Ovis aries: one gene and its partner. The protein of the gene in region 2 binds, or shares a complex with, the protein of the main gene of each other region. Links are inferred from orthologs where the notes say so. Each region holds a gene or a part of one and is shown on either strand. Other genes may lie near its edges.

What was found. Proteins that work in one complex are often made in the same cells at the same time.
Region 1: TIMM50 (region 2) and TIMM17A share a complex: the UniProt entries of both Homo sapiens proteins name them as parts of the TIM23 complex. The link is inferred for Ovis aries from reciprocal best matches to the Homo sapiens genes TIMM50 and TIMM17A.

What each region holds. Positions count from the first base shown.
Region 1 is NC_056065.1:79,927,939-79,932,189, reverse strand, and holds the start of TIMM17A (mitochondrial import inner membrane translocase subunit Tim17-A), read left to right. Parts: upstream 1-1,451; 5' UTR 1,452-1,484; coding exon 1,485-1,510; intron 1,511-4,251. UniProt on the Homo sapiens protein: Essential component of the TIM23 complex, a complex that mediates the translocation of transit peptide-containing proteins across the mitochondrial inner membrane.
Region 2 is NC_056067.1:48,516,280-48,520,579, reverse strand, and holds the start of TIMM50 (mitochondrial import inner membrane translocase subunit TIM50), read right to left. Parts: upstream 2,801-4,300; 5' UTR 2,790-2,800; coding exon 2,682-2,789; intron 1,754-2,681; coding exon 1,597-1,753; intron 1,074-1,596; coding exon 1,042-1,073; intron 837-1,041; coding exon 815-836; intron 1-814. UniProt on the Homo sapiens protein: Essential component of the TIM23 complex, a complex that mediates the translocation of transit peptide-containing proteins across the mitochondrial inner membrane. Has some phosphatase activity in vitro; however such activity may not be relevant in vivo.

The sequences.
Region 1 (4,251 bases), on a different chromosome or scaffold from region 2:
GGGCTCAAATCTGAAATGTGTGCCCTTGAGTGAGTTATTTACCCTTTCTGAGCTGCAGGAAATGGAAGACAAGAATCCTAGAAGTACCTGGAGAAAGAAGAACGCTCACTGCAAGCGCCATGGAGTTACTGAAGACGCCAATACGATGGCGCGCACAAGGCAAGGGGCGCTGCGAGCACTTGGCCTGTCCGCGCCGTTTACGGCCTCCCCAGCTTCCTCCCCAGCTTCCTCCCCGTCAGGGAGGCCGGAGGTTCCTCTGGCGAAGCAGACTCTGCCTCTGAAGCCAGCCCCTGGCCTGGCCCACACTCCTGGGAGGAGCGGAGAGCCCCAAGAGAGAGGGCAGAGGGCACACATCTTCCTGAAAAGAGGGTGGGGGAGGGGGGAGAGGGCAGAAAAGAGCCCACCTCCCCACCCCCACCCCTGCCCAGCCTAAACCCCCATCAGGCCCCAGTCATAGACCAGAGCCCCAGACCCAGAGCCGGAGGTGGTGCCAGCTTCACTCATCCATCAGGCCAGGTGGGGCTGGGGGCGGCGACCTTCTGCTGGGTGGAGCTGTTGAGGCACCCAAGCCTCTGGCTCACTGGAGCTCAACCCACTGGGGAGTAGGACCCTCTAAGGGGATGTCGGTTCTGAAAACGTGCATCCCTCTGCAGGTGTGAGTGTGGAGAAGGCTTCTCCCTTGCATCCTCCACACAAGATGCCATCAGTCTGTGAGCTCACTGTACATCGCTATTACCCTGGAGGGCAGACAGTCTGCTCAAGTGAGGGGAGAGAGAGCTGTACCTTTAGTGTCCTGGAGCTTGAAGACCCCTGCTCCAGGGGCAGTCCTGCCTCAGCCTTGTCAGGAGACCTGCTTATAGCAACGGTTTCCAAGGGGAGACCTTCTCATGCTCCGGTGTGTAGAAACCCCCACGGGTCACAGCGTCCCAGATTATCAAAAACATTTAAGGGACACCCACTACTTCCCAGCGCTGAGAGTCAAAGGACCTGGGCACTGCCTGCCCTCAGGAGCTCCGGGAAGTCGGTGGGGCCTCACCCACCCAGACGAAGTAGGTAGCATTCATGCACACTTGACAGCCAGGTGCTAGAACAAAGAAACGGGTCCAGGAGTTAGGGGAGCTCCAGCGGAGCAACCCGGGCGGGTGACTTCAGTGATGGGTACCTCTCCGCACCTGGAGCCCCGCCCCGCCCCCGGCACCCTACGCCCCGCCCCCGGCACCCTACGCCCCGCCCCGCCCTCTGCGCCGGAGCCCCGCCCACTCCCAGAGCCCTGCCTTCCGCCAGGAGCCCCGCCCCCAGCCCCGCCCCGCCCTCTGAGCCGGGGTCCCGCCCTCGCCCCGCAGCTCAGTCCCCGGCTCCGATTGGCTGCAGCGGGAGGCGGCCAGCCAATCCTCGCAGAGTCTAACGCTCTCCTCCTGGGATCACTTCCGCCGCCGGGCCGGCCCCGCTCTGTTCGCCCGGCATCGCGGAGCCGCGGAGGCAAGATGGAGGAGTACGCGCGCGAGCCCTGGTGAGCCTGCCTGCCGCCTGCCCCGCTGCCGCCTTCGGCCCCGGATCCCCGGGCCCCCGCGCTCCCGGTTCGAGGCCGCTCTCAGCTGCGGGCTGGGCGGCGCCAGGGGCCGGGGGCACCCGGACGTGAGCGGCCGGCTGGGGCCGCCGGAGCTGTTCCCGGTGACCTTGCGGCGGCTCGAGGGCGCCCCGGCTCGTCTGTGTCGCCGCGACCCCTGCCCGGCGGCGTGTGGGGAGCATCCCCGCTGCCCGCTGGCGATCCTGGGCTCGTCCTTGCGTCCGCGCGGCTCGCCCTGCGAGGGGAGGCGGCCGTGTCCTGGGAGGGTCCGCGTGGCGCGGCGGCTGCGGTCCGGGCGGTGGGGAGCGGGCGGTGGAGGGGGCCCCGCGTGGTGGGGACGGGACGGCGCGCCCAGGAGAACGGGGAGAGTGGAGTGTGCTCGCCAAGGCGCCGACAGCGGTCCGTTCGTTCGTCTGTCCCAGGAGTGAAAGCGTGGAGGAGTTCAAGCCTTCTGGGGTCAAGAATGACAAATCAGATCTTGTTATTTGAGTTCTTGTGCAAGAGTGCAGGGGCAGGAACCAGGGTGTTCTCCAGCTGTGTGAAAGGGCCCAGGGCTTTGACACTGCCCGAGCTAGCCAGGCTGCTGCTTCCTGCTGTTGTCCTCTCTGAAATGAGACAGAGCGTGTGTTTCAGCGCCTCCCAGCTCTTTAAATTTATCTTCTCCAAAGACAGTGGCCCCCCTTCGTGGGTGGTGCTCAGGTGTGCAGGGCTCAGCGCGGCGCCGCCGTTGTCACTTGCTCCTCCGTATGTGACACGGGGCGGTAGGAGGGGGAAATATGTGACTGTGTTGGGTTAAAGATTTTAGAATATTAAATTTCCATTCTCTATTCAGTTTGTTCAGTCTCTAGGTTGTGTCTGACTCTTTGCGACCCCATGGACGGCCGCACACCAGGCTTCCCTGACCTTCACTAGCTCCTGGAGTTTGCTCAAACTCATGTCCATTGAGTCGATGATGCTGCCCAACCATCTCATCCTCTTTTGCCCCCTTCTCCTCTTGCCCTCAGTCTTCCAGCGTCACGGTCTTTTCCAGTGAGTCAGCTCTTCACACCAGGTGGCCAGAGCTTCAGCTTCAGCCCTTCCAGTGGATATTCAGGGTTGATTTCTTTTAGGATCCATTGGTTTGATGATCTTGCAGTCCATGGGACTCTCAAGAGTCTTCCCCAGCACCACAATTTGGAAGCATCAATTCTTCGGCACTCAGCCTTCTTTATGGTTCAGCTCTCACATCGGTACATGAATACTGGAAAAACCATTGCCTTGACTATACGAACCTTTGTTGGCAAAGTGATGTCTCTGCTTTTTAATACACTGTCTAGGTTTGTCACAGCTTTCCTGAAAGGGGGCAAGTATCTTTTAATTTCATGGCTCCAGCCATCATTCGCAGTGGTTTTGGAGCCCAAGAGAAGAAAGCCTGTTACTGTCTCCACTTTTCCATCTGTTTGATGGGACCCGACGCCATGCTCTTGTTAGTTTTTTGAACGTTGAGTTTTAAGCCAGCCTTTTCACTCTCTCACCTTCATCAGGAGGCTCTTTAGTTCCGTCCTGAGTATGTCATAGCTTCATCTTCATCTCACTCTTTGATCACGTGTTCTCAGAAGCCCTTGGTCTGTGGTAGAAAGAACTTGGGGGGTTTGTATTTGAATTGGTTCTATCAATACCTGTGTGATCTTGCTCAAAGCGCTTCATCTCTTAGCCTCTGTTCATCTGTGAAATGGAGAGGAAACAGGAATATTCTTTTGCAAAGTTAAAAGACTAGGCACTCTATAAGGGCCTCCCTGGTAACTCAGATGGTAAAGAGTCTGCCTGCAATGCAGGAGACCCGGGTTCAATCCCTGGGTCGGGAAGATCCCCTGGAGTAAGAAATGGCACCCCACTCCAGTATTCTTGCCTGGAAAATCCCATGGACAGAGAAGCCTGGTGGGTTGCAGCCCATGGCATTGCAAGAAGTCGGACATGACTGAGCAGCTAACACTTCACTTCATAAGGAAATAGGCTGGCTTTCCAGAAGGTAAGGCTGTTTGCGTCATAAACCGCCTAAACCGTGTACTGTGCAGCCGCTCAGTCTTAGCTGACTCTCTGCGTCCCCATCCCCTTGGACTGTAGCCGCCAGGCTCCTCTGTCCATGGAGCTCTCCAGGTGAGAACACTGGAGTGGGCTGCCAGTAGATCTTCAGGGGATCTTCCCGACTCGGAGACTGAACCTATGTCTCCTGCACTGGAAGGAGGATTCTTTACCACTGAGCCACCGGGAAGCCCACCGTATTGGGTATTTAAAAATGGTAACTTTTGATCATGTGATTCATTATTGGTTCCCTGTTGCCCTGTGTTTGCCTGGCATTTATGTTTAGAGTCTGGGCTCAACTTAGCTTTGTGAGGGACACTGATTTCCGCAGACGCGGTTCGGAAGCTGTTTCCGTCTTGCATTTTTTTTATTATTATCTTTTTTTTTTTCATTTGTTTTAGACATCATCTTGTGGAATACTGTGGCTGCTCTCTGATCTGAATCCTGCTGTTTTTTACTGATTTTTAAAATGCTCATTTCCGTTCTGATCGTAGGATCATTAACCTTTTACAGCTAGTGACTCTCCTTTGTCTTTTTTTTCTTTTTTTCTTGGCTGCACCAAGTAGCTTATGGGATCTTACTTCCCCAGCCAGGAATCAAACTCGGCCTCAGCAGTGAAAGCA
Region 2 (4,300 bases):
AACAGTATGACTCTACATCTGCCCAGTTAACACATACTTAGCTACCTGCCAAGTTTAAAGTGAAAGTGAAGTCGTTCAGTCGTGTCCGACTCTTCGTGACCCCATGGACTATACCCTACCAGGCTCCTCTGTCCATGGAATTTTCCAGGCTAGAGTACTGGAGTGGGTTGCCATTTCCTTCTCCAGGGGATCTTCCCAACGCAGGGACTGAATCCGGGTCTCCCGCACTGAAGGCAGATGCTTTACCCTCTGAGCCAACACCAACGTAATAACATGCCGGCTTGCAAACATCTCCAGCACAAACAAGTGGCTTTCTGGACCTACCAGTTTTATATTTCTCTTGGGAAGGACCAGGTGTGATAGAATTGGCAGCTTCCCTCTACTATCCAATTTGTCAGAAACTCCCTAAAAGCTGGCTAATCAGAAGGCGGGGAGGGAGGAAGGAGGCATTGTTTTGGAAATGAGCTGGATGGGCTATGGCCTGGTGGGAAAGAGAGGCTGTCATAAACAAGGGGGTGAGGGGCTGCAGATGCTCAGATCTAAGGCACAGGAAGCCATGTGTCTGGCAGAGAAAGCCCAGTTCTCCCCCAGGCAGTCCCACCTACCCAGGAGTCCCCTCCCCCACTGCCCCTGACCATCTGCTCCTGGGCTGAGGGGCCAGGGAAGGGGACTGGAGTTCTGTATGCCCCTCTTCCCCCAAGCCATACAGCTGCTGACTCCCCCACCTCCCAGTGGAAGTGGGCGGGGGGAACCAAATGGGGAGGGCACAGTAGAGAGGGTCAGGGGACCCCAGAATCTACGATTGTATACTCACCGTTGTCGAATTCATCGGGAATCTGGGAGGTAGAGAGAAAAAAGAAGGGTTTGGGACGGCAGAGGCAAAACCCAGGCAAGGAATCTCCGGGGCCCTGGGAGGAGCAGGCAAAGGTCCCTGGGAGGGAGGGTTCACTCCAGACCAGAAAGGAGCCTGAACAGACCAGATGGGAGGAGACCCACAGGATGCGACCCCTGGTAAGGCCTCTGTGTCTCTCTCCCACTCACCTTGGCACCATTTTCATCCACAGCATTGTTTCCTGCAAGGGAGATAGTGATGAATGAGAAACTTGAGGCCTGGTCTCCTGGGACTTATGGGAGGAAGAGGGCAGAGGGCCTAGCCTCCTGGGTCTGAGGGAAGGGGGCTAGAGGTATGGTCTCCTGAGAAAGAGGAGGGGGCTGGTAGCCAGAATATCTGGGTCTCTGAGACAAGGAGGGCTGGGGCAGGGTCTCCTGGGTCTCTGAGGAATAAACAGACTAGAGGGAGGACTGGAATTTTGGGTGCTGAGGGAAAACGTAGCTTAGGGGGCTGGTCCAGACCTCTTCTTCCCCCCTTTAAACTGACTCCCTATAGCTTAGTACAGGAACCAACTAGAAGGAGTAGAACCTTGAGCAGAGGGGTAGTAGGGGGATTTCTCTCATTTCCAAGTTCCAGTTGGCTGCCCTGAGGGAGGAGCCAGGGAAAGAAGATGGGTGAAGTCCTTAGGGGAAAGAGGGGGCAGTCCCCCCAGCAGAACAGAGGGCCAAGAGAACATAACTGGGGGACAGGGATATGTTCCTCACCGAAGATATAGATGACGCTCACGGTCCCACCAGCCCCAAGCAGCCCAGCGAGCCAGAGTGCCACTTTTTTGGCATAGCTGGGACCCTCAGAGCTTCTCTGCTGCTGTGGTCCCTGCGTCTGGGCCTTAGTGCCTGCTCGGCTCCCAATCTCTGCAACCTGCAATTGAGAGGGGGTAGCTTGGCCAAGAAAGAAGAGAAACAAGGTCGGGGTGTTTCCAGCACCCTGGTCTAAGAAGAATCAAGGTTGAGAGCCAGGAAGAGGACACCCATATGGCCTCCAGGTGTTGTGTGCCTAAAGGGGCAGGTAGGGGACTGGGTCTCTCAGAAAAGTCAAGAACTAAACTGGCGCTATGATCCCAGGGGTTCAAGAGATGACAAGCCCGGGGCCCAGGATCCTACAGAACCGGAGCGCGGGTGGAGAAGCAGGGAAGGGAGATACGATCAGGGACCCTGACTGAACACTGACTAAGATTTCTGGAGCAAGCCACTGAAGGCCACGCAAGAGGACAGGACGGGGAGTTAAGTCCTCCGGCCGTCTGGAGCTCACAGTGGCGTATGGAGGGGGACGGAAGGGAGGAGCAATAGCCTGCTAGGACTTGGGGAGCAGGGCACAGAAGTAATGGACCCGGAGGTCAGAAGGGCACGGTCTCTGTCAAGATGGAGGCAGGTCGAATCAGAAGACCTAGCAACACCACCAGCACCACGGCGGGGAAAATACCGCGAGGCCAGGCTGGGACTCCAGTGTCCCGGGCCCCTCCCCCTCGAGTATTACCTGAACCGTCACCGAGACAGGAGAGCAGGTGACCCCTCCTTCCCCGGCGCCCACGTGGGGTCGAGAAGCTGGGGTCCAGAAGAGGTGGGATCCAGAGGAGGTAAGGTTCAGAGGACACACTTGAGTCCCCAAGCATCTATCCCGGGGAAGCAAGGGCTGCCAACCCCGGGAAGCGGGGAAGAGACTCAAAACGCGCGTGGCGTTCCATTCAGCACCTTGAGGTGCTGCGTTCCAGAAGCTCCGGGCGGCCCCGGCCCGCCCGGAACCACAGGAAGGAGCCCCAGCACCCGGGGACCAACCCCATCCGGCTCACCTGGTCCGGGGCCCGAGGGGGCGGCGTCGCGAGCCTCGCACACAGCCCCCGCGCGCCTTGCCGGAGCCCGCTCCGCAACCGCAGGAACAGCGCCGCCGAGGCCGCCATCTTGCGCTGACGCCACGCGGCCCCGCCTCCTCACTCTCTCCCCCCGCCCCGGGCCGGGGCCGCGGCCAATGGTAATACAGGGGCGGGGTGGGTGGACGGGAGCCCGAGAGAGACAAAAGGCTGCGGGCTGGGAGTCTCCCGCCGTCACGTCCTGCTCAGGCCGGAGGGCGTTCCAGCGCCCGCGCCACAGGACGGGGCGGGACACCCACTGCCCGGGGTCAAGCGGAGGCCATAAGGAAGGGACCTAATTGTTGCTGGATTTGTCCTAAAAACTAAAAGCCAGCTTCACACACCTTCCTCACGAGCGACCGAGAGGTCTCATCCGCCTTCCCTCCCCTTCTCCCAGCCCTTTCTTGCTTGAGTTTCCTAAACTGGGTCTGGAAAGTCAGCCAGTTTCATGGAGGCTCAGCCAAACGAACCGCTGCGGGCTCAGGGTATTGAGAGGAAATCCGAGAATTAGAGGCTACGGGAGCCATGATTAATCTTCCACATGTAAATCACCACACGGCATTTAGGGATAAATACTAAGATAATAAGGACTTCCCAGGTGGCTCAGTGATAAAGAATCCGCCTGACAAGCAGGAGACGCAGGTTCCATTCCTGGGTGGGGAAGATCCCCTGGAGAAGGAAATGACAACCCACTCCAGTATTCTTGCCTGGAATATCCCATGGTCAGAGGAACCTGGACTACAGTCCACGGGGTCGTCGGTCACAAGAGTCAGACAGGACTGAGCGACTAAACAACAGCAACAACTAAGGTAGTAAACATACGAAGTCAGGTGAAAGACACAGAATTTTAGGGTTGTGTTACTTCTGGAGGGAAATGGACTGGTCCTTCTTATTTGGTACACAGATAGCTCCTAAATTGGGTGGTGGGGACATGGGTGCTCCTGACATATCCTTTAAAACATTTGAACTATTTTAATACAAGTTATATTACATTTGTAAGAAGACGTGAACATCAAATGAGAAAAGTGAAGGTGGTTAAGGTACTAAGCCCCATTCTCTACACTGCTCCCCAGCCCCACCCAAGCCCTTAGATGAGCTACAGCGATTCTGAGGTTACTGCTAGATGGACTCGAGGGAAAGGACCATCAGATGCTGGAGCCTGCACCATAGGTCCTATTTAGATTTGTGGAGGGATTGTTGTTCCACCACTCAGTCATGTCCCAAGTGTTTGCGACTCCATGAACTGCAGCATGCCAGGCTTGCCTGTCCTTCACCATCTCTCGGAGGTTGCTCAAACTCATGTCCATTGTGTCAATGATGGCATCCAACCATCTTGTCCTGTCGTCCCCCTCTCAATCTTTGCCAGCATCAGGGTCTTTTCTACTGAGTCGGCTCTTCGCATCAGGTGGCAAAAGTATTGGAGCTTCAGTTTCCGCATCCGTTCTTCCAATATTTAGGGTTGATTTCCTTTACAATTGACTGGCTTGATCTCCTTGCAGAGGGGACACTAATTTTCACCTAACACAGCTCAAGCACAAGTTAGATGTAACTTTGTCAATCAC